4 linked regions of the Alligator mississippiensis genome follow. The protein of the gene in region 2 interacts with the protein of the main gene of each other region in a pairwise test. Links are inferred from orthologs where the notes say so. Each region holds a gene or a part of one and is shown on either strand. Other genes may lie near its edges. The genes, in order: CRY1, PLSCR1, SLC35A2 and ESR2.

Region 1 (6,881 bases), on a different chromosome or scaffold from region 2:
CCACTTGATGGAGTGGGGGCCCACACTAATCACGTACGAGAGGATGAGAGAGGAGGCAACAGGGATTCTGGGTGAACCATTTGGGAATGTCTACCAGACACTTAAGGCAGGTGAAGAAACAGAAATCATTGGAAATAGAAAAGAAAGGCACAACTCAGTGTGGGAGTCAAGTAGAAGTTGACATGTATACAATGCAGTAGCTTATCATGAGTTGAAAGAGTCGGCACTGGGGGGGACTGCACCCAATGGGCACTACCACACATCTGATTTGGAGAAGTTGCACTAACCTATCCTTGCAGTAGATTCTATCAGTGTGTTTACCCAAAGTAGGCCATGTATTTTATAGTCATGCTCAGCATTGGCTGCATTTAATCAACTTTATATCTGGTTTACTGAGCATGTGCTGCTGTGAGCAGCAGTTTAATGATAGACGGTGTGTTTAATGCAGTTTCCTTGTAAGTGAGATTTCTCTAGTGGCTTTTCTCCCCATGCTGATTGGGGGAAAAAACTGTCTTATATTTGAGTAAATAAAATATATGAAACTCACTGTGGTAAACTAAAGTCTGTTCCGAATAAAAGCAGTCTCTTGATAGGAGGATATAGCTGTTACTTTAAGAAACTTAAATTTAAAAAATCCATAGTACAGAACTACAAAGCATATCACATGGATTATGAGCATTCAAGTTCAAACTGTTTCAAAGAAGGTGCTGCTCTGTATATAGAACAAGTTTGTTGGAAAGATGAAGGATTAGTAGAGTAGATAAGGTTCCTTAAAATAAAAAGAAATGTTGCTTCTTTTTCAACCTTCTCCCTTTTAGATCTCTTCAGTACACGCATAAACTGCCCCCCCCCCCCCGTTTTTTACGTCATCAAGGTTAATTTTGGTAGGTACATGTAAATATTACAACTTGAGAATCATTTATTATAACATTTGTCAAACAACCAAAGGACATTAGCATTAGTATTAAAAAGTCTACACTTTCTTTAGCCAAGTCCACTGAGTTAAACACTTGGTCCTGGGTCACTGGATTCTGGTGTGCTGACTTCCTAGAGACTAAAACTTGCCAAGCAGAAGTATGCCACAATCTGCTTTTTCTGGGTATTATGTATATCCAAAGGCTTAACAGTGTTTGTACTACCTCAGAGTTTAGGGTACGTACAGCACTGTGAAGCCTGACTTGCCCTCTGCTTCTAAATCTGCCCCAGTGGCCAACAGACAGGATGATTACAAGGCAAGGTACCATTGTCTTTTAAAAGTCTGGCAGCAACACATGTATTTCATTCAAAGAACCGAATCACTTATAAAGCCATAAGATTTGTAATTCAATTAGAAAGCACTTGCTCAAAAAATGCCTGTAAAGTGACTGAAGCTGATCTTGCTTAGATTAAGGGAAGTGTCCAAAAACAACTGGCTTTAGGTCTTACAGTTGTTAGTTTGGTGGTGTATTAACCATTAAAATGAAGGATCATGGGAAAGGTTTATTTTTCTACCATCAAGACTACAGACATGACCAGAGGGAGCAGAAGTTTACAACTTCCACATGTTTTTAAAAGTTAGCTTGTTAGCGAAAGATATCCTTGAAGACACTAAATCCAGAAGCCTCAAGTTCTTTCAACTGTGTCACACATTTGACTTTGGGTAGGTCCCTTCACCTCTATGCACTTCACTTCTGTCTTTTGTGAAGTGCAATAACGTTATTACCACATGTCTAATCCTGCAGAAGCTCATTTTTTTTAGTATTCAACTAACCCCATGCTTGGAGCCAATGCATGGACAGAGCTGCATGAACATCAATGCATCAAGTTCCCCTCCTCAGGAGGGCAACAGGAAAAAAAAAACAAGCCAACCTTTAGAGACAGCTATGGAAGTGCAGAGGTGGCTCTCAATCTTATTTTACTTTGTTGAAGACACAGAGGCAGAACAAATGTAAGTAACGCTTTGTACTGCCTCTCTCCCTCACTTGATCTTTGATCCGGCTGCCAGTCTCTGCTCCACCCGACTGAGCTCTGCCCCTTGCTGGGCTCAGGAAGTGCAGAGCTGAAAGTCCCCCTGCCAATACCAAACCCGGCCGCTGAGGGATCGCACCCGACCCGTCCACGCGCTCAGTCCGTGCAAAGATATCCCCATTTAGACTTGCGGCATCCCCGGCTCCGGCCCCGGCCCATGCGCGACCCCCCCGCCGCCGGGAGGCCGATGGCGGCTCCGGCCCCGAGGAGACCCCGGGCAGGCGCGGACCCGCTCCCGAGCAGCGATTGCTGCACATCTCAGCGCCCACAAGCCGCTTCTGCGGGCGGCCGGCGGGATTTCCCCTCCCCCCCCCACGTGGGTGGATCAGCAGCCGCCGGCCGAGGCAGGGGACGGGCAGGCTCCTGTGCTGTGGGCTGCTGTCACGGCCCGGGGGCTGCCATCCCCCCCTCCCCGCTTTTGGCACAGCGGGCCCTGCAGTGACTCACACACACACACACACACACGTACACGCACACACACATATGCGCGCGCAGTGGGGCGATGTCACCGCCGGTCCCCGGAGCCGCAGGCCGGGAAGGAAGCGTCGCGCGGGGCCCGAGGAGCAGCCATGGGTCAGGGTGCCCCCTCCCCGCCCGCACTCACCGCCACCGGTTGATGCCCACGTTGGAGGACCCCGCGAACCAGGGGTCGAGGATGTAAACGCAGCGCACGGTGTCGGCGCCCTGGATGCACTCACGCAGCGCCGGGTTGTCGTGCAGCCGCAGCCCCTTGCGGAACCAGTGCACCGCGTTCACCCCCATGGCAGGCCCGGGCAGGGATCCCCTCAGACGGGGCCGCGCCTCACGCCGGCAGCGGCAGGCGACAGGGGCCGCATCTCCTCGCAACAGCCCCCGCGCGGGGGTCGCTCGCGCAGAGCCCCGCCCCCTCTTTCAGCAGCACAACGGCCGGTCACGCGCAGGCGGCGGCTGGTGGTGTGCGCGGGACCCTGCAGCTCGCGCCGCTCGCCCTGTACCCGTGCGCCCGATCTGCGCCGGCGGCCAAGCCCCGTCCCCGCTTCCCCATTGGCTGCCGCCGCCCCACGTGACCCCCGGCCATCACGTTTCTCGAGTGTGTTTACTACCCGGAGTGTGGGGGGAGAAGCAAAGAGGAGGAGGGCAGGAGAAGAGGGCGGGCAGCTCGGCGTGGCGCCGAGGGCCGGTAGCCACTGAGACGCGAGCAATGTAGCGAGGCCGTGCCTCGACCGCCCCCGAGGCAAAGCTTCCTGGATGGAAAAAGGAGGGAACGGAGTGAAACAGGGAGGGGGGGGCTTTCGGGCTTGGCCCCGCCCCCTACCAGAAGCCCGGATGAGCACGGGGCTTCGAGGCGTCGGAGCTGCTGCTTGTGCCCATGCGCCAGAGCCGCGGCGCGCCGGCACTTGTGGTTGGTTGAGGGGGTGGAGCGAATGCCATGCGTATCGAAGGGGGGGGGCTTGCACGCATGCGCAGTCTCCCCCTCTTCTGCGGACGTGGCGGGGCGGGTGAGGCCCACGCAAGCGCTTACATAATTGCGCGGCAGGCCCCGCCCCTTTCTCAGCACAGCCCTGCGGCCGCGTGCGACTCCGCGTGCTCGCTCCCCCAATGTGCGGGGGAGAAAAGGTGTGCGGGGGCGTGGCGATGTAACCCGCGAGCTAGACTTCCCCGTCTGCCCCTGCCCCCTTTAATCCGGACCCGGTACATCTGGTGCCGGCTGACCCAGTTCCCGTGCCCTTCACGGGGAGGGCGGGACAGCCGGGAATAACGGGGGAGGGCTAGGGCCGGGTGCTGCTGTGTTCCCACAGCCGGCGCAGGGAGGCAGGAGCGAGTTGGGCTCCGTGGTTGTCAACGTTTTTTCGTTTGCAGAGCCCCTGAGAAACTATAAATGGGGGGCAGCCCCCTTTGGGACTCTGCTGCGGGTGTAGGGGACATAAGTAGATAATTACTGACGCACTTTTAAAAATAATAAGAAAAAGCATACCACGTTGTGAGCTCACCCTTTTGTCCTCGGTTCTAGTGAGATGGTTGAGCTGCTTGGCAAGAAAGCATGTGAAGGTTTGATAGGGGAGGTAGATGGGATCTCTTTCATTAGACTGACTCAATAGTTGCAGGGGGAGGGGAGTTCTTTGCCATCTTTTGGGCACAGACACCCTTCTTCAGGCTTCTGTAGATTTGGGAGACTCTGCTCTCTGTGCTCAGCAAAGGGGGTTTGTGCCCGAAAGTTTGTCAAGAACTTTCTTCCAAATAGTCTACAAAGGATGAAGGACTAGATCCACCACCAAGGAGGAATACTCTGCTCTGGTCCAGACCTGCAGAGAGCAGACCAGCAAAGCCAAGGCTGCATGAAACTCCAGCTATCTACAAGTATCAAGGACAATAAAAAGTCCTTTTTTAGATACGTGGGGAGCTGGAGGAAAAGCAAGGGAACATTGGACCCCTGTTGAACCAGATCAGACAACTGACAACCAGTGCCCAGGAAAAAGCAAACTTGCTAAATGGGTACTTTGCGTCAGTTTTTCACCAGTCCCATGGGACACCCCTGCCCACTGTGAGTCAGGGAAGCCCGGGTGAGGGAGATTCGTTGCCCTCCATCAATGCTGACCTCATGAAGGAACACCTTGAGAGGCCGGACACCTTCACATCAGCTGGCCCTGACAATCTACACCCCAGGATACTCAAGGAGCTGGCGAGTGTCATAGCCCAGCCCCTGGCACGGATCTTCTAGAACTCCTGGCACTCTGGTGAAGTGCCTGAAGATTTGAAGAAGGCCAATGTGCTGCCTATCTTTAAGAAAGGGAGGAAAGTGGATCTGGCAAACTATAGGCCCATCAGCCTGACCTCTACCCTGGGAAAGGTCTTGGAAAAGATTATCAAAGAGGCCATCCTTAACAGACTGGCTGACGGCAACATGATGGCTCAAGGATCTGTCCTAGGGCCTATACTATTTAACGTCTTCATCAATAATGTAGACATTGGTGTCAGAAGTGGACTGGCCAAGTTCGCTGAAGACACCAAACTCTGGGGTAAGGCATCCACACCTGAGGACAGGAGGGTGATCCAAGCAGATCTTGACAGGCTCATGAAAAAGGCAGACAAGAACCTGATGGTGTTCAACACCAAAAAATGCAAGGTTCTCCACCCGGGGGAGGAAAAACCTGCAGCATGCTTATAGGCTCGGCAGTGCTACGCTGGTTAGTGTTACAGATTAAATGGATTTGGGGGTCATCATTGACCACAAGATGAACATGAGCCTTCAGTGTGATGCTGCAGCTAGTAAAGTGAGCAAAATGCTGGCTTGCATCCATAGATGCTTCTCAAGCAAATCCCAGGACATCGTTCTCCCCTTGTTCTTGGCCTTGGTGAGGCCGCAGCAGGAGGACTGTGTCTAGTTTTGGGCTCCACAATTCAAACAGGATGTGGAGAAGCTTGAGAGAGTGCAGAGGAGAGCCACGCGCACAACCAGAAGTCAGGAGAACAGACCTTATGATGAGAGGCTGAGAGCCACAGGGCTCTTCAGGCTGGAAAAGCACAGGCTCAGGGGCAATCTGGTGGCTACCTGTAAGTTTATCATGGGTGCTCATCAGGATCTGGGGAAACGTCTGTTCACCAGAGCGCCAAGGGATGACAAGATGAAATGGTCACAAACTCTGCCGCAAACGATTCAGGCTGGACATAAAGAACTTCTTTACTGTCTGAGTCCCCAAGGTTTGGAATAGACTGCCACCAGAGACAATTCAAGCACCCACTTTGAATGCCTTCAAGACATATTCGGATGCTTATCTTCCTGGGATTCTTTGACCATAGCTGACTTCCTGTCCCTGGGGTAGGGGGCTGGATTCAATGATCCTCTGGAGTCCCTTCCAGCCCAAATGTCTATGAAATCTAAAATATCACACCTACCCAAAGAACCTAATCTGCCTGTGTCCTTAGACCAGGTGTAGGCAATGTTTTTTGGTTGGAGTGCCCAAAAAACCAACAATGCCTACCTTGGAAGGTGCTAGAGTGCCAGCATGACAGAAAAACAAAACAAGGGCAGGGGGTATATGGCAGGATGCCTTGCTCATGCCCCTTGCCTCCCACCTAAACCCCCTGCCCCCCAGCCCTGCTGCCCCTTGCCCCCCACCCAAAGCCCCTGCACCACAGCCCGGGCTCAGTGGCTAGCAGCAGCTACCCAGAACCTGGGCCAGCTGCAAACATCCACTGCCTCTCAGCTCTGGCCCCAGCTGCCTCCCGGCCTCGGGCTCTGGGGAGGCAGCAGATACCCGCGGTGCTCCCCGCTGTGCTGCCCTCCTCGCTGCTTCTGCAGAGCAGCATGTGAAACCCGGCGCGGCAGGACACAGCGGGGTGCACAGCTACCTGCTGCTCTGAACTCCCCACTGCCCTGGTCACACTTCCCCTGCAGGCGGGGGCAGCAGCAAGGGGCACAACCCTGCGTGGTGTCCACGCCGTTCCCATACACACAGGGGAAGTGTGACCCGGGCAGCGCGGAGCTTGCAGCAGCAGGCAACTTCTTTGCGCGGCCCCTCTGTGCGCTGCCGCTCTGGGTCGCTCACGCTGTGCTCCCAGCCCTGCTGCCCTCCCCTGGGCCCTCCGGAGCGCAGCGTGTGCGACCCGGAGTGGCAGCGCAGAGAGGGGCCGCGCAGGGAAGCTGCCTACTGCTGCAAGCTCCACGCTGCCCAGGGCACACTTCGCCTGCGTGCACAGGAGCAGCCTTGCTGCTGCCCCCGCCTGCAGGGAAAGCATGGCCAGGGCAACGGGGAGTCTGGAGTGGCAGGCAGCTTCCTGAGCCCCCGCTGTTCCCTGCCGCGCCGGGCTCCAACGCTGCTCTGCACAAGCAGCGAAGAGGACAGTACAGCGGGGAAGCATCGCCGGTATCTGCTGCCTCCCCAGAGCCCGGAGGC
Region 2 (7,450 bases):
GTGTTAAACCATGCCCATATAACACTTGTCCAGTGGAGTTTAGAAGAACCCAGCATAGAGGTTCCAGGTGGAGTAGGAAGGGGAAAAACTGAAGTAAAACTCCACCAATTGAAGTATCATGTCCATTTCTATCCGGGGGAAGATGCATTCAGTGCAAAACTACTAACAGCTCCCTTTACACCCCATGGCAATGCAATAATGCCTACAGCAGCAGCTACTCCAAAAAAGCTTGTCATCTGTCCACTCTGGACACTGATGTAAACTTGCCCTATTTTTTGTTTTGCAGGTGTAATGTCCAGGTGCCAGGTTCCTAATAAAAACAGCATCAGATAATCCTGCTGTGTTGGGAGAATACTGCCACTTAACTCCCAATTTAAGTGGAGCAGGGTAGGGGTTAAGTTAAAGAGAAAAGGTGTGCACCAAGCACTGAGTCACTAAACCCATTTATTCACAGGACACTACCAAGGAAGGAAGAGGCTTGTAGCCTCTCTGTGTTGCCACCACTCCTTACTGTGCTCTCTCTTGCTCAAAATGCAGTTCCCAGATAGACATAGCAAGAAGTGCTACTGGGGAAGCTGGAGTCACAGGGCTTGAGCCACTGAGCTGTTTGCAGCCCACTACCCAAGTATAAACTGAGTGTAGAAGCGCTACCACTCAGTTATCTTTTTAAATATGCTCGCTTTGCACAGATGCAACTATGCAATGTGCAAGACAGAGATTCAGGCTCAGCTGAGTGCTGTGCCATGAGATTCCCACTAGACTTGATGACAGCAAGCACCTAATGAATAATGAGATGAAAGAAAAATAGCAAATATTGCAATTTCATCTAATCCCAGCAGAATTTGCAGTTAACTACATTCTCACTCCCTTCAGTAATATAGTCATACTTTTATCACTCTAGTTTCACAATAGAGGAAGCATGACCGTTTCACCTTGAAAAGGTAAATGCTATCTGAGAAAATGTAACAGTTAGGGGCTTTTTTTCGCAACTCTCATCCAAAAATGATATCCAAAACCAAAAGTCATACAAACTGGGATGAAACTGAATCCAGGCAAAATGAGGAAGTGATACTGGTGAAGAAGTAATCTGAGGAATTTGGGTACTACTTGATGAATGGTCCCTGCCTGCTGAACATACTGTTGGTACACAGCTTCAAAGTCCTTTTGAACATCTTGTTTCCTTTGCATATCCAAAAAAACCAAAATTGGGCAAAATGCGAACTTCCAAATAAGGTTGGCTGGAGGACTCTCCCATTTTATCAGAGATCTGACCATGGTTTTTAATGCGTTTGTGACCTTCAGGCTCACTTCCTGCAAATCAAACTGGGAACAAAGCACCCTTACCTTGAAAATAACAATGATGATACAAGATCATAGTCCAAATTAAGGTTTCTATCATAATATTCAAATCCTACCAAGAAGGCCAGCCTATGGTACTTACAGAGATCACCTCTCCTTTATATCCACAGCCAGCAACAACAGCTATGTGCTTATGGGGCTTTATCAAGTCTGCATATCAAGGAATCCTGCTTTTGTCTATGCGACGCACACAAAATCATCGAAAGCCAGGGTTAGAAGGGACATCAGGAAGTCATCTAGCCCAACCCCTTGCTCAAAGCAGGACCACCCCCAACTAGATCATCTAGGCCAAGGCTTTCTCTACCCAGGTCTTAAAAACCTCCAAGGACAGAGATTCTACCTCTTCTCTAAGCAGCCGGTTCCAGTGCTTCACCACCCTCTAGTTGTATTTCATCCTACCACTTTATCCAGGGGCATATGAACCTAATAAGGAACAGGTGGATTCATTATACATGGCTACCAAGCTTCTCTGTAGTCAGTCTCATGGCAAGGAAGTTTGGCACCCGGGGCAAAGCCCGCAGCAGCAGCCTGCCCACACCCCATGCACCGATCTGGGGGGCACATGCCCCCCATGCTTGCCCAGGAGCCCCTGCAGCTATGGGAGCCGCCCTCCCCTGTGCCCTGCCGAACTAGCTGCTTGTGGCTCCATCCTGTGCCTCTGCCGGGTAGTGCCTGTTGGCGCCCCTTCACGCTACAGCACTGCCTATAGTCAAGTTAACTTAAATCAGTTATAGCTACTGTCTGCATTTCAGCAATAGGCCAGGAAAAATAGCAGATTAAATATTTTAACATGGATGCCAGAGGGATGAGACACCAGTAACCTAAAATGTGACCCCTCTTCCTTCCCGTAATACAGATCAAAGGGTCCTGGTCAGCCAGAGGGGAGAAGAGTTTAGATTTGGTGTTTGAGTCACGCTGTCCAGTAAAGACAACCATTAGCATCCAGTTTTCTGCCACTGGCCAAGTCGGGCCACAAGCTTGTTGATACGATAACAGGAGAGAGATGACAGACAGCGCCTCAGGCTCTGCCTCCCAGTCCTTATTAAATAGCCAGAACTGTTGCTAAGACGCGCCCTCGGGCCTAGCACGCACCCCCGCGGCAGACACCGCCCCGCCCCGCCCGGACGCACCTGCGCGGCGGGCTGTGCGGGGAGCCCCTCAGGCAGAGCGGCCGGGGACCAGCTCGGGCCGGGGCCGGGGCCGGGCTGCCCGCACTTCAGCAACGAGGAAGTAACGGCGCCGCTCCCTGCCGGAAAGGGGGCGGACAGCCTGTTTGGAAAGGCTGCAGGTGCGGCTTTCGCTTTGCCTCAAGGGGCCGCGAGCAGGGGCTGGGCGGACGCCTGCCCTCGCCCCGGACCCGCACCGCCCCGCCAGCCCCGGGGCCGCGCTTCCCGCCCCGCGCACCCCCTTGCCTTCGCCTCGCCTCGCCTCGCCTCGCCGCACCGCTCCCTCGCGCTGCCTGGGATGGGGCAGGAGCCGCGGCCGCCTCGGGGAGGGAAGAAGCCCGGAGGGCGAGGGCAGGGGAGGAGGCTGGGCGGGGCGCGGAGAGGCGCTGGCCCGGGCCCCCGCGGCCGCCGAGGGAGCAGGGCGGCGCCTGGCCTGCAGGCGGGTCCGTGCGGGTGCCCCGTCGGGGCCGCCTTGCTCCCAGCACCGGGGCCCGTCGTCCTGGGCGGGCGCCGCTGCTTGCAGCCCGTGCGGCGACGGGCAGCGTCTCGCTGCTCCTGCGCCCCGCAACCGCGCGCGGCCTTTCGCCGGCTTGCTAGGCAGCGCCTTCAGCACAGTCCGTCTGCAGGGATCGCTGCCACCTCCTTTTCACTCCCAGAGAACTCCCCAAAGCTCCCCTGCGTGTGTGATGGAGGCAGCGAAGTAAGTGCTGCAGGGAATCGGTATCAAGCATCTTCACTGCGGTTTTGTCCAGCATCCATTAAAGCTGGAATTAAACAAACAAACAAACAAACAAAAAGTGAGGTTCCATGAAAAAATGACAAGGAAATTATATTGCAGGGATTTCTCTCTGTTTGCCTTGAATTCAGGTTGATGTTACCTGGTCCTGCAAAACATGCCTAACCCTCTATGAATTTAAAGATCCCTGGCCTCCATAGAGAAAGTCAAAAAGACCAAGGCTAAATTGATGCAGTCTTCACAGGTTAATCTAAAGCTGCATAGGTTGAGCCAATAAAAAAAGTGAACAGACACCAGCTTTTGATTCCTGAAGTGCAACTGCAGCCCTGCATGGTTCAGACCAGAAACAGCAGGTAGAGGGAGGGGCAGAGCATGCCTTCCTGCTCTGCTGGAGCACACCGCTTGGGCCAAGGCTAGTGGGCTTGCAGGGAAGGTGCAAAGCATCCTGGGGGGGGCTGTGAATTAATAGGAATTGCCACCTGATCAGTTGCACTAAACCTAGTAGTTTTGTTTTTAAGCTACTAACTAGTTAAATTGGTTTAAAAGTGTAATCTGCATATATTTTCACTGAATCAGTAGAAACTGAATCAGTGATCTTTCATTACTATTTAATACAGAAAACATGCTCCCCACCTTTTCCCCCAAAGAACGCAGGTACCATTTCAACAGATTTCTGTGCATATTTACATTTTATCACTGTGTTTAAAGCTTATGGATTATAACTCATTCATGCCTTTACAATCATGGTATAAAAGCAACCTATTATTTATTTTACATTTTCAGTAACTCCCAACTTTTTTATTTTCAGTTTTGACTTTACTTTGGAATTCCAAGGTACTGATTTGTCTAATTTAACATGGTAAGCCGCTAGACATTTTAGGCTTTCAAAATCAGAGAATTTTCTATCATTGATGGAAATTTTCCATCAATTTTCCATTCTTTGCATTACAGTAATAACATTAGCTAATCACGTCAGTTTGCAGTCCAGTAAAGGCAGTGGGTATGCAGTATTTGCAAAGTTTTACCTGTACTGATATGTTATGTTCTAACCATGAAATGTGCTTTTTCCTCAGGGAATAATTTATAATTTTCCATTAATGAACACTGCTCTGTAGTCCTGTATTCTATTAAAAGGACATATTTGTTATTGGTTCATGTTCTCAACTACTTCTACCACATATGAATAGAACTTTCAGGAAGACTTTTCTTTCTACTTTCTTTGCTATTTCTATTTTCTCAAGTCTTTTCCTTGTGAAACGATGCCTCTTGGATTTCTACTGAGCACCAGATCTACTGAGCACCCAATTTGTATTTCACTGATTCTACCAGCATGTACAGATCTAATTAAGATTAAATCATGTATCCTGTATCAGTCAGTCTCTCACCAGCTCATTGTATTACATACACAATAGGGGCTTTTCATGAAAAAGTCACAGCAATCCAAATGTATGTATTTGAGAATTAAGTCAGTCTACTATGCATCAACCAGTTCATATTATTCTTTACTGTAAGTATCAAAGGAAACATTTTTTCAAGGATATTGTACATTTCAAGTTTTTCCATAGTCTTTACAAAAATCACCTTGATTTTCTTCCTTTTGCCACCTGCTGGCAGAGCCCCCCTGCAGCGTCTTGCAGCCCTGTCTGCCTGAGACCGAGCACCACCTGTGCCACATAGCACAGGCCTGCCTTGGCTTGACCCGGGGGCATGCACCTTTGGGCAGGACTGGGCAGCTCTTTCTGTCACTAGAGTCTCGATACTGCACACCAGGCTCCCTGCCTTCATGGAGCCGGCCTGGCCTGATACGAGGAACCGCTTGCAGGATGTGATGGGCTAGGAGGAGGCGTAGAGGTAGCAGGGATGAGAGAGAGGGTTGGGGGTAGGGGAGGGCTTTGGGTCAGAGAGGTAGCTAGAGCTGGGCTTAGAGCCCCGCTTTTTGCCTAGAGCAGCCTGTACAGGGGGAGGCCAGCCTGAAAGGAAAGGAGCTTGCTCAGCCCAGTCCCTGAGCCCTAGTCAAGGGCTTCCCAGGAAAGGCATGGGGAAGCGCTGGGGCCTGGGCACAGACAGGGAGCAGAGCAGCAAGGGCTGGTACTGCTCACAGCCACAAAGCAGTGGATGGAACAACTGCAGCTGGACGCATGTCCTGGTGCTGGGAGGGAGCTAGTGGGGGCAGGCAGGACACTGGGATATCAGTGCTTCTCAGCACCCCACATCCTGGTGACCAAAGTGGAAAGGGGCGGCTCTGATTTTTCTATGATGAAAAAAAGAAAGGAAATGCTAAAGTGTATAGGATATTTAGAACTTGTTTATTATGACGATAGAGGCACTGCTAGGCTTCCAAATTGCTTTAAAATTGTAAATATATCAGTAAAGCATTGCCCAACTCTACATATAGTGCTGTTTCATTTTAAATCACAAAATAACAGAGATTTGGGGTATTTTAATGAGAAAATTTGGGTTCATCAGAGAATTTGGAATTTTTAAATGGGGAACACCAGGATCTTTACTGGTGAGACAAGTGGCAAGATGTAGACAGAGGAGCCTGGGGAGGGGAGCTGGGCAGGGAACAGGTTTCCCAGCTCCCACCAGGAGGGAGGTCCCAGTGCCAGCTCTGCGACTGTGGGACTCATCCTGGGAGATCCTTATCACCCAGGCTGAGCTCCTAGGTCTAGGGGCTTGGACCATGGAGCCAGCGCTGGGAGATAAGTGTCTCCCAACTCAAGGCCCTCCACCACAGAGCTCAGGCTGGGAGATAAGGATCTCCCAGTCCTTGGTTCCCTATCGGAGATATCTGAGCAGGGGGTTTGGAGTTCCCTGCTGCCAGAGCAGGGGGGACATAGTCCCCGCCCAGGCTCCTGTGGCAGAGTCTACCCCTGCAGCAGGCAGCTCCTAGGGGCAGGGAATTATTTTCTACCTCCTGGTGGATGGGTGACCGGGAGTAGATTTTGTTCCCAGTCAGGCACCTACATGAGCACTATTTGCGCCATTACTAATCGTGAGTAAATTTGCTACTTGTATTTGCAGATAGCAAAATTTACTTGGGATTAGGGAGGTTTACTGTGAAATAAGCATGTTCATGTTTACAAAAACTACAAATCATATTGTACAGGATATACTTAATGTAAAAAATTTAGAGGACTATAACTTCATTGTTATGTAGAGAACAAGAAGGACAAGCATAATTAGTGTGGAATCAGAAAAAAAAATAAATGCCTTAAACTTTGATTATTTGAGTTATAAGATGACATAACTGCTTTGTAGAGAATTGCTGGCTCTGTACAGTAGAACAGATAAGGGAAAGTGTTTGTTCTTTGTAACTCCTCTGCAACTGCTTCACTCACCACAGCCTTGAAGATAGCAAAAAGTATGTACAACTCTGATTTCCAGGTGCAAGAAGGAGGTTTGTGAACTAACCTCGCCTCCCCCATAAGTTCCTATCTTGATTACAGCAATGAAGTAATGTTTATAGCTGCTTTTTTTTTTTTTATAAGCCTCCTGATTTTGCTTTTGGGGGGCGGACTTCTTCTAAGTGCTTGGGAAATCTATGTCACTTTGGAATCCCCTCTACAGCTGTAGTTTTTTTTTAAATAAAAGCTTTTGTTAACCTGATTCAAAAGTATTCTGCGTGTGTTTTCACAACAATTCCTGGTGCCGTGACTCGGATCCAGAACACGTGCTGAAGAAGGAGGACCACGGACTGCCCCCCTCCAAACCCTGAGGCGCCAAACTTAAGAGGTAAGAGACCTAATTCAAAATCTCTTTTGGGGTTTCAGAGGAGAACTGCCTGTAGGCTCCCAACTTAGCCGTGGTAACTAGATCTAAACCTTGTTAAAAACAGGTCAGTCTAAACCTTACTGCCGGCTAAAATTTTCTGTCTGGTAAAGAATCCAATTTTCTGTCTGGTAACGTATGTTTTATTCAGGGAAAAACTTTGAAGCACCTTCATCCAACAGCACATTGGGCTTGTAGTTAATTAACTAAGGCGGTGTGGGGGAGGAGGTCTGGCTGACTAAATGAATGCGTGTGTGTGTGTATTTAAAAATATAAGCCACTGACCAGGTCTAAAACTACGGTTGGGTTCAGCAGCCCCAATTCTGCCTAACGGCAGTTTTAAAAGCAAGGGGGCCCAACTGAAACCTCATGACCCAGTGGACAGGGCTTCAGAGTAATTTTGTCTTTTTCTATCTGG
Region 3 (6,835 bases), on a different chromosome or scaffold from region 2:
GTTTTCCCTGAACACATCCTCTTTTTGGGTCCTCCCATTTCCATCCTAGCAGGTTTTTAAAATATCAACAAATGTCTGGAATTTTTGTTCTGCCTCTGCTTTCCTGGTACTTCCTGGATTGCCCCAGCAAGGAGTTGCTTGGGGCTCGGGGAAGGGGGCACAGGATGATTGGAGGCAGGGGCATCACATGCTCTGCATGCAACCCCAGCAACTGCAGGCAGGTAAGTCTGTGTGTGTATGCATGTGCGCACACGTGTGCCCCTGCTGTTGCTGTGGCTGCAGCAGGGCGGGGAAGGGGGTGGGACGTTCTTCAGGGACAGCAAGGCACTGCATGGGCAACAGGGCTGAGGCAGGGCAGGGGACTGCAGGTTGGGAGTGCGGGACATCAGTATGGTCTGGGGGGCAGTGAACTATGGGTCAGGAGTGAGAGGCAGCAGTAGGGCTAGGGAGGCTGTGACTTGGGAGTGAGGGACAGGGGTAGGGCACAGCTATATCACAGCCCCCCCATCATACACCCCCCCTGCTCCCCACATAGGTGTCCTTTTTGAAACCGGAAATATGGTAACCCTACCACTGCTCCTGTCTGAACCCTATCCACCTGGCCCAGCTAAGCCACTCTTCCCCCTGGAACAAGGCCCAGCCCTCCCACCCTCCTTCTTTCCCCAAGCCTGACCAGAAGACCAGGCCCTGCCCCTCCCTCCCCAAGCCCCACCCCAGGCCCTGTCTTCTCCCCTCAAACCCCTTGCCCAGGCTGGGCCCTGCCCTTCTAGCCCAAAGCCCACCCCCTCCCTTTCCTGAGTCCCACCTCCCAGGCCAGGCCCCACACCCTCCAACCCATAGCTCTGCCCCCCCAGCTAAGCCCCATTCCCCACAGGAATCTCACCACGGTGCTGCAGTAATAGCAGTAGGAGGCAGGTGCCACCCTTGAGCAGCTCGGCTAGGACTACAGCGGTGGTGGGCAGGAAGCGTGGCCCTGGCTGTGTCCGTGCATAACGGATGCTCAGGATCAGCGATGCATTCTGGAGAACCAGCACAGCCAGGCTGGCCTGACGCACTCGCCGCCGGCCTGGGAGGGAAGACGGGGATGGGAGGGTGGGGTTAGAGCAGGATCGGGACCCCCAGCTGACTTAACATATCTGCTGCTGGCCTGGTGGGAGAGATAGGAGGCACTCTAGCAGGATCTGAACCCCACAGAGCCCCCCAGTATGACCAGATTAGCCTGATGCACCTGCTGGTACTCTGTGGGGAGAGATACAGGGGGGTTAGAACAGGATTGGGACCCTCACAGAGCACCACCCCCATGGACTACCCCCACCATAGCCAGGCTGGCTTGAGACCAGAGATGGGGGATTAGAGTAGGATTGGGACCTCCATGGAGCCCCCCAGCACCAAGCCAGCCTAATGCTGCCTCCACCTTGAGAAAGGGGATGAGGTAGGGGGTAAGAGTATGACAAGGACCCCCCAGCTCTGAGTTGAGCAGCTGAGTATAACATGGCCTGGCTAAGATAGCATGCAGCTGGGATGGGGTGCCTGGGGATCAGCTACATATAACACTATCTGGAGAGGTCTGAGATGTGCCCAGCTCTGAGGCACAGCAGCCGAGGAAGGGTCAGTAAAAAGGACACAGATGCACCTAGCTCTAGAGTTGGAGAGCTGGGGAATGGCTACGCCAAGCCCTAAGGTGGGATGGCCAGGAAACAGACAAATATATATAACACTCCATAGGGGAAGGTTGAAATATGCGCAGCTCCAGGGTAGGACAGCTGGCGAACGGGCAAATATAATAGTACCCAGGGAGGGCCAAGATGCACCCAGCTCTAAGCACCTAAGGAAGAGCTGAGTATAAGGGGCCCAGATGCAGCCAGCTCTGGGGTGGGGTGGCTGGGGAACAGCTGAGTATAACAGCGCCTGGTGAGGGCCCAGATGCAGTCAGCTCTGGCTGCAGCCACCAGTAGGATATGCCCCTGCTGGATGCACAAATGCTCCAGCTCCAGCGCTGCCCAGCTGAGCAAACATCCTGCTCCCGCCCCTCCAGGCTGGGGGCTGCCAATGGTGGTGTGGTTGGACCAATGAACCACATTCCACCTCTGGGATCAGGCCCAGTTGCACCTGCTGGGGGAGGGGACAGAAGAAGTGTGGATATGGGCAAGATGTGCCCAGCTCTGTGGTGGAATGGCTAAGTGCAACAAGACAGGGAGAGGGCTGGGATGCGGCCAGCTCGGAGTGAGGGTGAAGGGACAGATAAGCAGAACAGTATGCGGCGGATTTTGGGACGGGACAAGGGTTAAACTGCAGGCCTGAGATGCAGCCAGTTCTGAGGAAGGCAGCCGAGTAGGACCCGCATGCCTAAAACAAAATGCAGCCAACTCTGGGGTGCGGCAGGGGAGAGCAGCAGAGCACGATGCCACTCGGAGAGGCCCGAGATGCGCCCAGGTCTGGGGCAGAGGCGCTGGGGAAACAGACGAGTATAACGAGGCAGGGAGCGGACCGAGATGCGGGGGCAAGGCACCCCCAAACGTTACACTCGGCCGCTCCCCCTCCAAACTAGCAATTCTCGACCCTTCCCCCCGGGGCGTCAAACTCGCCCAGAGCGAGCGGGTGCATTTCGGCCCCGCCGCCGGGCCTGCCACGCCCCCGCCCTTCGGTTCCCTCGGCTCACCCCCCGCGGCCGCCGGGTCCCTTCCAGTTTCCGCGACAGCCGCAGCTCCAGCCCCCGCCGCGGTCGCCGCTGCCATGGTGGCACTTGCCCGGGCCCCAAGCGCCAGCGTTGCCACCACTTCCGCATCCTGCGCTTCCGCTTCCTGCGGGAAACAGGCGACAAGCGAGAAGGAGCAGCGACCCCGGCTAGAGAGGAGGCATAGTTTCGGGCGGAGGGCTAGAGCGGAGTCTGGTGTGGAGGACTGGGGCTCTCACCCTAGAGTCTGGAACAGGAGTAGAGTGGGGCCTCACAGCTGTGACCAGAAAATTGGGGGGTCTAGAGCGCAGCCTGGTGTGGATGACTGGCGCTCACACTAGAGTGGAAGAGAGTAGAATGGAGCCTCGCGGGGGAACGGGTCGAGTGGAACCTGACTTGGAGGACCGTGGCTATGATCATAGAGTTGGGGCGGCGACTGAAACAGGGTCTGGCGTGGGGGACCGCGGCTGTGACCATATCGTGTACGTGTGGGCAGGCGGGTTGGTAGGGGTGTGACTGAGGTAGAGCAGCGCCTGTGAGCATGGGGAACAGTAGAGTGGAGCCCCGCAGCTGTGACCATAGGGTGAGAGTCATGCTGCTTGGAGAACCGCAACTGTGACCATAAAGTTGGGGCTGGCTAGAACAGAACCTGGCATGGAGGATCATAGTTTTCACCGTAGAGGGCAGGGCTGAGTACAGTCCTGCTTGTAGGACCTTGGCTGTGACCATAGAGCAGAGAACAGGCTGGGCAAAGGGGAGTAGGCACAGAACTGTGCCTCTCACCGTAGGGTGGATGGATTATAGGGATTCCTGGGAGACCACATCCATTATCATGAATAGCAGCAAGGCCTGGGTTAGAGGACCACCCCCACCCTGTCACCTGAGAGGAGTGAACTAGGGGGCATCTTGCTGGGAGGACTGAAGGTGTGACCATAGAGTTGAAAACTGATAATTTGAAGTCCTCTTGTGACCTGCCACCACAGAGTAGGACATCTCAGCTCAAGTGGCCCACCCTTGGAACGTAAGTGAATAGGAGCTGCCTAGAGAGGAGCCCTCCTGGAGAATTGTGACTACCACCAGATAGATGATTCAGCTACAGTAGTACAGTGGAACCAGAGTATGTGGGTGGGCTGGCTAGAGGAGCCCTGCTGGAGGACTGTGACTGTCACCAGCATTGGGGAGCAGGAGGTAGTACCTGGAAAAATACATAGCAGCACTGGGGGCCTAGACACCTAGGTTCTCTAAGGAGTAGGGGTCAGGGTGGAGCTTAGAGTAGGGAGAGGGCTCTGAGCCCAGATAGTTGTGGTGGGAGGAAGGCTGAACCGGACACCTAGGTTCTCCAGGTAGACTGGGGGCTGAGGCAGGGGCAGAGCAGGTGAGGCTGGAAGCCAAAACACCTGGGTCCCTCTGCACCAATAGACGGAAATGCCACCCCCCTTGTGACTAGTCATGGGGGAATCCCTCTCAGCACCCACAGGATTAACAGGGTCCCCAGGCCACAGCCCTTATAAAGCCTTGTGAGGCAGCTCCCACATGGAACTTAGGCCCTTCCCTCTCAGCCCCACTTCCAGCCTCTAGGGGGTAGGCACTGTAGGGGGCCATATTCCCCACCCCCAGCACAATACAGCCACCTCTAGAGTGAAAGAGGCCAGCACAACACAACCTTGCCCCAGATGAAGCCAGCTATGGGGTAGGGCATCTTCCCCCTTTATCCCCTCCCCAATTCACAGGGGGGATCCCCTCCCCCCATCCACCCATGACACAGCAGAGGCCAGGCCAGACACGGTGGGTTTCTCTTTCCTTTGTGGCGCTCATGGGGGGTGGGGGTGGGGGGGGGTCTTTGTTTCTCTTTATCCAGGATAATTCTCTTCCCAACATGCAGCGACAGCTCCAGTCTCTGGGGGAGAGGGAAGGGAGCAGGGGGAGAAGAAGGGGTGCAGGTGGCAGTGGAAGGGGGGAGGGGGCAGTCTAGGGGCATCAGCTCTTGTCAGCAGGGCTGTCTCTGTGCAGGGTGCTCTTCTTGATGGTCTCCAGGTACTCCTGCTGTGACACGGCCAGCACTGATGCCAGGATCTCATCGTCTTCCCAATCATGAAGGCCTGAAGGGTGGAGAAGATGGGGGATGGTACACAGCTGAGTAGAATGGCTCCCAGGATAGGCTAAGAGATGGCCAGCTTTGGGGTGGAGTGGCTGGGAAAAGAGTTAGGTAGAACAAGGGAAAAAACTGAGGCTGAGATGTGGCCAGCTTTGGGGAGGACTGCCTGGGAATAGCTGAGTATCACAGGTTACAGGGAAGGCACAGATACAGCCAGCTCTGAGGTAGGGCTGCTGGGGAACAGCTGAGTGTAATAAGACCAAGATGCAGCCAGGTCTGGGGTGAAACATTTTGAAATGGCTGGGTATAACAAGGCACAATAGAGGCCAGGATATGACCAGGTCTGGGGTGGGGAGCCTGAAAACACCTAAGTATAATAGCCTACAGGTAAGGCCATGTTGCAGCCAGGTCTGGGGTGCAGCAGGTAGGAAATGGCCAAGTATAACACCCCACAGAGAAGATAGAGATGCAGCTGGCCCTGGGACGGGATGGCTGAGAATGTAACAAGACTTAGATGCTGAGATTCAGTCTGGTCTGGGGTGGAACAATTGGAGAACAGCCAAGAGGCCAAGATGCACCCAGTTCTGGGGAGGAGTAGCTGGAGAATGGATCAATATAGCCCTCTGCTCTCCTGTGGGGGTGGGGGAAATAATGTGCCCAGCTCTGGGGTAGACTGGCTGGAGAACAGCTGAGTTTAGCAAGGCAAATGAGAGGTGAAATGCACCCAGCTGTGGGGAGGAGCAGTTGGATCAGCTGACTATAGCTCCCTACAGGGAAGGCAGAGATGTGGCCAGCTCTGTGGTAAGGCAGCTGGGGACCAGCTGAATATAACACAGCAAAACTAAGGCCGAGATGCAACCAGCTTCAGGGAGAGGCAGCTTGAAACAGCAGAGTATGACCCCTCCCCAGGGGAAGGCTGGGATGCACCTAGCTTTGGGAAGGAACAGCTGAGTATAACTAACACAACAGGCTGAGATGCAGCTGGCTCTGGGGTGAAACAGCTTTGAATGGCCAAGTATATAATGCTCCACAGAGAAGGCCGAGATGTGCCCAGCTCTGGGGTGGAACAGCTGGAGAAAAGCAGAATCTAACAGGGCATCAGTGAGGCTGAGATACAGCCTATTCTGGGGAATAATGCCCAGTATAACCCCAATCTGGCAGAGCCGAGATGTGCCCAGCTCTGCAGCAGGGAACAGAGCCCTTTCTCCCACCCCCATCAGTCCTAGATGCTCTGAAGCCTTGCCCCCAGCTCCAAATCCCTTCCTTTCTCCCCCCTAGAGTCACTCACCGAAGGCAGTGGGGGACATCTGCTGCATGATGGCACGGCACTCCAGTGCAGGGTACAGGGATACCAGCGGGGGGGTAGTGCGGCCCCCTGCAGCTGCCAGCTGACTGCTGGTACCTGGGGGGGGGGGAAGCTGAGCAGTAGGCCCCTGTCCCCATTGCCCCCAGGAACCCTGAGCTACCCCAGTGAGCTAAAACACTCCCACAGTCCCAGTAGCCTCTATCCCCGCCCCGACTTATTGCCTCACATTCATCACCCCAGCAGCTCATAGCCCCACCCCACCCCATTACCCCAGCAGCTCACAGCCTGCCCCCATTCCCCCAGAACCCACACCCCAGCCCCCACACCCCATAGCTCTGCCTCTCATTCCTCCAGGACCTATATCCCTGCCACCACCCTATGTCCTAGGACCACCTGCATTCCCCCAGCAGGACATAGCACCACCCCATCTTCCCAGTAGTGCACAGACCTGCTCCCATAAGCCTTGCCTTCATTGCTCCAGAAGATCATAGCTCTGCCCCCAAGGACTCATAGCTCCACACCACTCAATTCTCCAGTGCCACCCGCATCTCCCCAGCAAACCATAGCCCAGCCTCTATGACCTATAGCCCTGCCCCATTCCCCAGCAGCCTGGAGCTCGACCCTTATCCCAGTTCTACCTGCCAACAGCTCCTGCCCCCTCCTCACTCTCAGACCCCCAGCAACCTATCACCTTGCTGCCAGGACCCACAGCCCCTCCCTCACAACATATAACCCCTGTCCCCATCTCCCCAGCAGCCCA
Region 4 (7,250 bases), on a different chromosome or scaffold from region 2:
GGACACCAGCCAGAAGCCGAGTGCATGCAGGAGGGTGCACTGGTGTTTAGCCTCTGAGTGGGGGGCGGGTCTGTGAGCAGAGGCTTCTGCATCCCTCCGGTGGCTGGGCTGTGTCAGCTGGCTGGCGTGGAGGAGCAGGGACTGAAGGTGAACCTAGCCCGGGGGGTAAACAGCCCCCGTGCTCAAGCAGTGCCGCTGAGTGGCTCCTTCCAGGTTCCCTCTAGTACAGTGGTTCCCAAACGTTTTCTTAGGGTTACTATATTTTCAGATCTAAAAAAGAGGACACCTGTTGCATGGTGGGGGTGGGGGGAGGCAGGCAGGGATACAGCAGTGCCCTGCCTCTGCCTATTTTGTTGCCCTTTGCTTCCAAGCCACCCTCCCCCAGTCCTGTGCTGTCCCTCACTCCTGACCCACATACCCCAGCTCTGCCAGTGCCCCTCACTCCCAAACCACACGGTACTCTGCCCGCTGGTTCCCCTCACTCCTGACCCACAGTCCCCTGCTCCCCCCCAGCCCTGCCAGAGGGGCCCCAGCTGCCCCTGTCCTGACCAGGCCAGAGCGTGGTGGCTCAGAGCAAATCCAGCCCCAGTGCAGGCTGTACGGCAGAGAAAGGGAGTCCTGTGACAGCCTCCACCCCGGGCTGGGGCTGCCACGCTGAGCCAGGAGGCCCAGCGACAGCATACAGCCCACCTCCCGCTCCCCTTCCCCCCACAGCGTCTTCAGGCCGTTTTGCCCCTGCAAACATAGGCACCAGCACCTGTGCTGCCAGCCTGGCTATGGCCCTCAAAAGGCACCCCCCCATCCCCTTCCCCCTCTGCTGGAGGCAGGCAAACCCCCCCCCGACCCTCCTACCCTGCCCCAGCCCCCAACCCAGACTTATTTGTCTGCAGCTCCCTGCCTAAAGTCATCCCTCCCCTTGCTCCCACCAGCGGACCAAAGCAAAAACCCAGACATTTGCTCAGATTTGAAAAACCTGCCTGGACAGAGATGGGAGGACTCAAAAAGAGGACATGTCTGGGAAAACTCAGACATAGTAATCCTATTTTTCTTATCGCATACCCCCTCCCAGATTTACCAGCTGCCCACATATCCTTACCAGAATACTTTAACCCCTTAAATGCCAATTATTATTATAATAAAAATTAAACTCACCATTACACAATTTCTCCTGCGTGCCCCCCAGAGATGATTTGTGTACCCTCAGGGGTACCCATACCACAGTTTGGGAACCCCTGCTCTAGTATAAACCTACCCAATGCCCTGGCCAAGCAGCTTGAAAAATGTTCTCCTGGCCTCCTTGAGGAATTTAAATGCGAGTTGCCCCAGTCAGCCATATCCACGCTGTGGCCTCCTGTTCCCACACCCAGGCTGTGCCCTCCTGATCCCGTACCCATGCTGTGGCCTCCTGATCCCACACCCAGGCCGTGCCCTTCTGATCCTGTACCCATGCTATGGCCTCCTGATCCCGTACCCACGCTGTGGCCTCCTGATCCCGTACCCACGCTGTGGCCTCCTGATCCCGTACCCAGGCTGTGCCCTCCTGATCCCAAAGGCTCTGCTACTTCCAAGTCCGGAGGAAATGCACCAAGAGTGGGGATGCTGTGTCTCAACATGGGACTGCTTGACAATATGAAGCTCTGTGGTGTGAAAGCAAATCGGTGCCCTTTCTTCTCCTGTTCCCCTGAGGTTGGGAACGTGGTAAGTAGAGCCTGACTTCCAAAAGTGACAGTCTGTGGCCAGTGAGCAAAAAGCCTCTCACAGGTAGTTGGAATTTGACTCTTCAGCTTCGCAGGTGCATTGGTTTGTGAGTGAGCCAAGGGCTTGTTCAGAGCGAATGAACAAGACCAGTGGCCCAGGCACCCAGCCCTTCCTGGATCAAGAAAGAAGTCTGCACTTGCAGGAGGAGAGATGGGTCCAGCCTGTGCAGACAACACTGGGTGGCAGCATGAGCCAGGCTGGGCGGTGGAGAGCTGCTGTTGCATTGGACACAGGCACCTGTCTCCTGCATGCTGTGGAGGAGTTGGGTGAGGGGAATCAATTCATACTGTTTACAGATGCACAGTCATGACTCATATCTTAGAGAGGCCAACCTGCCCTCGTCTACCTCCGAAAGCCGGCAGGGAATCCTTCTCAGAAATCCGGGGTGACGTGAGGCGCTCTCCCTCAGGAAGCTGGGGTAGCAGTAGTTCTTAACTTCTTATTCATTTTCTCTGGCAAACCCACTGCTGGTTTGAGCCTAACATATTTAACTCATTTTCCTTCTTTTTTTTGTGGGGCTTGTGATCCCACTTCATTGCTGCAAACATGCAGTTTGGGGTAGGGTCTTGCAGGTGTCTTTTAACAGTGAGGAGTAGTGTCGACACTCCCCAAAGCAGGAGGAGGTGCGGTGCTTCGACCCCCTAACAGGCCTGAAATACATTTTGGAGAATCTGAAAGATTGGTACAGGAAAAACACATTTGGAGCATTAACCGAGTGGTGATACAAGTCCCTTGGTTTGGCCCTTTCCACTCCTGCAGTTAAATCATTGTCAACAGGTGCATTCATCATCAGTGCTGACAACAGATGTCGAGACTACTTGGCATATTTTTCCAATTTTACCAGCAGGCTTTAATGGTATGGAGAGAAAACTTGGTCTAAAACATAGAACTAAGTAATATGCTTTGAATGTACAGACATATCAGTTAGGCTCCAATGCTGATCTTGACTGAGCCAGGACACACAAACATGCAATGGGACAGGAATTGGAAAATTGAATTTGGAGAATCTGCAACTTACTGCACAATACTCTGCAGAAGCAATTTGGTTTTCGTGCCCACTCTTTAGGTTTTCCAGTACTGTCACTTTAATATATAGCATAAGCAAAAAAACCCCCAAACCTGTGCTTAATCTAAAAAGTCTTTTAGCTTCTAGTGTGTCATGGTCCCAAATCCACCTGAAGTCTATGCAGGGTTCAACTAAAAAACAAAAACCCTGAGGTACTAATAAGTTGCCATCGCCATGTGAAACCTGGGGAGGAAGGACAGGGATTTGGCAGGTCAGAGTAATCTCTGCAGGAAAGGGCTTATAAAACTTCTTGAACCTTTCCCGTACCCCCACATCCCCAACAAACAGCATCCTAAAGGCAATGCTTCTTCCACAGATTGCATTTCCCTGTGCCATCATGGGCTAATGGAGTTTAGTTCCACTCTTAATTAAAGGACATGTGAGCTGTGATGGACTTTTCTAGTTGGATTGCTTTACTTTTTGTAGTAAAGTGAATAGAATTAGTGATGATGAGCAAAGACCAAAGCAGCTTTGTGATGGCCTGAGCATCATTTATTCCAAGGTTCAGATTTGTAAAGGTATTTAGGTTCCTGAAAATGCAGATAGGTGGCTTGTAGGATTTTTGAAATCTTTTCAGTAAGCTGTGTGGACACTTATTGTTTTGGATGGGAGTTAGGCATGTAACTTGTTCAGGAATCTGAAAAATTCCACTTGGTACCTATAGACTACACGCTATCTGTAGGTGGCTAAGTACCTTTGAAACTTGTCCCCAAGGGCTGCTTTATATCACTTTGCTTAGAAGATTTTTTTACGGACAGAAGTGTGGTTGTAGTGCATAACTGAGATTTGCACTGTGATTAGTGTTTTTCAAAATGCTTTAAAAAATAAGAGCTAGTGAGTTCGTGGAGCAATTGAGTCACCTATTACACGGTGTCCAGTTAATTTCTTTCTCGATTTGAAAAGACATGCTGTTAAACATTGCTAATATGAATGCACGTTCAAGATTAGAGAATATTGCAGGATATGCTTTTAATGAAGCTTGTAAATAGATGACCACAAGTGTTTGAAGTGATTAAAAGTTCAAGTTCAAACCAGACTGGTTATATTGAGATTCTCCATTCACACTTTATGGGGGGAGAAAAGTTAATTTAGCTTTTAAAACCTCATCCACTGTTGCTGGTTAATTGATTATTTGAATGACTTTGGTCTGACTGAGTGTTAAACGTGTTACGTGCAAAATAGTAATGGGAATCATTGTGGTACGCTGCAAGAGTGAAATAAACCCAGGGAATATCTTTAGCTAGAAAAAGCCAACATTGTGTACAGGCGCCCTATGACAATACTTGGCTTATAAAACTACTTCAGTTCTGTAGGAGCTCTAATTGCAGGGAACAACAAGCTTATGAATTTGTTGTCAGAAGGAAAGGGGAGGAACTTAGATTTAGGTCTTGCCTCCACTGGGAAAGGAAACATTGAGAGTGTCTGTGTAATCTTGTACTGATGAGCTGGCATTGCGCTGCTTTATCAAGATCAGTATTTCAGATCCTCTGCCCTGTGGTGTGAGTGATGGTGATTTTAGAATGGCTGCGAAACAGAAGAAAGGGAAACTAATCCAGAAATGATGGGTGAAATGCTAGCTGGCATTTAATGCTGTGAGATAAACCCGAAGAGCAGAAAACTATTCGATATCAATCAGGTATGTGGTGAATTGGGTTACATATATTTGTTAAATGTTGTAAAAACTGATAGCCACTAGGTATATCAACAGTAAAATACTTCTGTGCTGTGATCTCATTTAATTTATGGTTTAAGAGGCTTATCCTTTTACAAATTATGGTTTCTAAAGTATGATCAATGTGTGTTGGCTTGTGCAGATAAAAATAATCCCTAAACAGGTTTATCCCTCCAAAAATTCTTTGGTTTCTCGTACCATTTCCAGGACTCTGGACTATAGAATCTTGATTCTTTTTCTTAAGATGTTTTTAACAAAAGTTTATTAACATGGCACTGCTGGAGTGAAGCAGAGGTGAATATTTGCATGCAAATTCTAGGAAAACAAATGACTTGAGAGTTTCTTTACGATAACGCATTGTAAAAGCCATTTGCTAATGTGGAAGGGTCTGATCCAATGGATTAAACAGGAATCTTTGACATAAGTGGCTTTTGGATTGGACCCTTCCTGCACTGTGGTGCGTTGAAGCTCCAAAAGATGTTAGGAGCCTCCTTTTTCAATCTTTGTTCTTTCAGCTACTCTATTTGCCTAAGTGATTTCCCATTTCTGTTGTTCAGTGGCTAAGATTTCACTGCCAGGTGTCTGCTTCATTTTTTAAAATATAATTAAATGTCTTTGATATTGGAAAAAGCTTTCCCAAGTAGACAAGAGAGGGCAAGCCTTGTTTGTTAAGGGTCCTTTAAAAAATTCTAAGGTCCTGGTGTTATAACTGGAAATATAATGCTAAAATTAAGATAATACATTTATTCTGAATTAATATTAATATGCAACTGTATGAAGCCATCATTGGTAAGCAGAGATCTTCATAGAAATTAATTAGGTAATCTGCCTAAAAAAACAGTGGAATCATCTAATCTTATTATTAGACCCATTTAATAAGACTTAAAGTTTGGAAAAAATAAAATGCATATAGAATTGCAGTCGAGTCTGATACAGACATCGCTGTTTCATAAAACTAATAACATAAAACCCCTGAAAACAGCACATAAAGAATATAGCTGTTCATCTAAGTAAAAAAAGTTTTGGTAGGATTGACAGCACCCAGAGAAGCAATCTTTGTAATATTAAGCGATACAGCCTCAGAATCTGAATTGCTGGGTATAAGTAGCAATCTTATTTCTTTTCACACCCCTGAAATTATTTTTGCAACCACAGATATCTCTTGGAGGAAAAAGAATAATGTGGGAGGATAGTATCTTTTAACTGGTATCTTTTACATTTCCGATTCCCAGCACACAATGGTCAGTAACTACTTTTCAGGTTTTAACAAAAGTTCCTGTGAACTGTATCTAGTTAATGTTATTTATATACACTAACTTAGCAAAGATAGATGGTCTATTCAGTCTCTTTCCAATCATACACAAAATGTCTATGTAAGATTGAAACCGGATTTTCCCCGTTCTTTTCAGAGTAAGGAACAGAGCTAGCATTGGCATACTTAGCATAACAAAATTACATGCGCCCAGACAATAATAGATTCCTTCCTTATAGATTTTTTCCAAAGGGAAAGGAGGAGCAGGGGGGAGGGAATAGCAAAAAGGAAAGAGGAGAAGAGGTAGTGATAGCAGTAAAAAATGCTACCCAGTGTGGGATTTGAAGCTGATCTTGAAATTCAGAGAAGTTAGAGAAGATACGTTTAAAATATTATGCTTCTGTTAGATCCTTTGATTTCCCAATATTTTCATACTTTTAAAGCTGAAGTGAAGAAATAGTTGAAGTCTTCAACAGAATAACCCTAAGGCATTTCGGTTGTTTGGGTGGCAGGATTTCCAGATGCAAATATCAGCCCTTATAGGTGTATTTAGGTGACAATGAGTGGATGAAGTATAAAAATATGAAACTATTGGAAAGCTATTTTTGCTTCAGGCTTCTTTAAGAGAAACAATATGCACACACACATGCAACAGCTTAAATTTTGGTTTCTTTGGTTAATGCAGTTTTTAATGCTGGTTCTTGAATGCCCTTCTCTTCCCCACTCAAACACATATGAGTAAAATGGACAGCTAAGAGAAAGGGATAATGATTTCAGAGGAAGAAGGTGATATGAAAACTCATTTTCCCACACTCATCTTCCTCCATACACTTTCATGCCTGTGAGCAGCTTGCTTCTGCTATCAGGAGGAAGTATCCAGAGAAGGGTGTGCCAATCTAGTCCCCAAGGAAAGAAAAATATCAGGGCCAAAAAAGAAGACAGTTCCCAGAATAACTCATTGACTCAATCTGTTGAGACAGTGGCTACGTCCAGACATGCAGGCATGTGTGGTTTGTAGCATTGCAAACCTCTTTGTGGCACCACAAACCACACGCCCAGACCATTAAGACGTGCCCTGCGCTGCAAATCTGCAGCATGGCGGCAAAATTTGCTACCACGTTTTCCTGGTAGCAAAAAAACCACTAAAGGAAAAAAAGCAACAAACAGAGGCTTGGTCCTCCAGGGAGACACTCTGGCTGTTGGCCAGAGCATCTCTGCTATTTTGTTTGTGCTCCAGCATGGCGGGAGCAGGGAAAGGCAGTTTGTCTGAAGCAGGACAATTGTCCCTCACCAAAGCACATGTGCAGGGGTGTGAGCTGTGGCACCAAGTAGCGGCACAAATGTGTGCTGCTGCTATTTGTACCCTTGGAAGCACATGCCCCTGCACATCTAGATGCGGCCAGTGAGTTTTAATATTATACCTTTTGGTTTTGTATTTTAGCAAACCAGAAGTAATATATAGGGAAGAAATGGGGAACTCCTAGTCCCATGAGTCAACAGCA

The links.
Region 1: the proteins of PLSCR1 (region 2) and CRY1 interact in a two-hybrid assay, tested with the Homo sapiens proteins (2 studies listed by BioGRID and IntAct). The link is inferred for Alligator mississippiensis from reciprocal best matches to the Homo sapiens genes PLSCR1 and CRY1.
Region 3: the proteins of PLSCR1 (region 2) and SLC35A2 interact in a two-hybrid assay, tested with the Homo sapiens proteins (2 studies listed by BioGRID and IntAct). The two-hybrid records come from large-scale screens. The link is inferred for Alligator mississippiensis from reciprocal best matches to the Homo sapiens genes PLSCR1 and SLC35A2.
Region 4: the proteins of PLSCR1 (region 2) and ESR2 interact in binary tests that used the Homo sapiens proteins (3 or more experiments, as listed by UniProt). The link is inferred for Alligator mississippiensis from reciprocal best matches to the Homo sapiens genes PLSCR1 and ESR2.

The regions. Positions count from the first base shown.
Region 1 is NC_081827.1:104,109,565-104,116,445, forward strand, and holds the start of CRY1 (cryptochrome-1), read right to left. Parts: upstream 3,014-6,881; 5' UTR 2,770-3,013; coding exon 2,612-2,769; intron 1-2,611.
Region 2 is NC_081830.1:59,169,723-59,177,172, forward strand, and holds the start of PLSCR1 (phospholipid scramblase 1), read right to left. Parts: upstream 3,010-7,450; 5' UTR 2,772-3,009; intron 2,611-2,771; exon of another isoform or gene 2,490-2,610; intron 1-2,489. UniProt on the Homo sapiens protein: Catalyzes calcium-induced ATP-independent rapid bidirectional and non-specific movement of phospholipids (lipid scrambling or lipid flip-flop) between the inner and outer leaflet of the plasma membrane resulting in collapse of the phospholipid asymmetry which leads to phosphatidylserine externalization on the cell surface.
Region 3 is NC_081831.1:28,440,845-28,447,679, forward strand, and holds the start of SLC35A2 (UDP-galactose translocator), read right to left. Parts: upstream 3,005-6,835; 5' UTR 2,914-3,004; intron 2,802-2,913; 5' UTR 2,736-2,801; coding exon 2,660-2,735; intron 1,067-2,659; coding exon 884-1,066; intron 1-883. Other genes in the region: OTUD5 (OTU domain-containing protein 5), read right to left, coding at 4,652-4,773, 6,058-6,171. UniProt on the Homo sapiens protein: Transports uridine diphosphate galactose (UDP-galactose) from the cytosol into the Golgi apparatus, functioning as an antiporter that exchanges UDP-galactose for UMP.
Region 4 is NC_081825.1:291,561,979-291,569,228, forward strand, and holds the start of ESR2 (estrogen receptor beta), read left to right. Parts: upstream 1-4,237; 5' UTR 4,238-4,460; intron 4,461-7,250.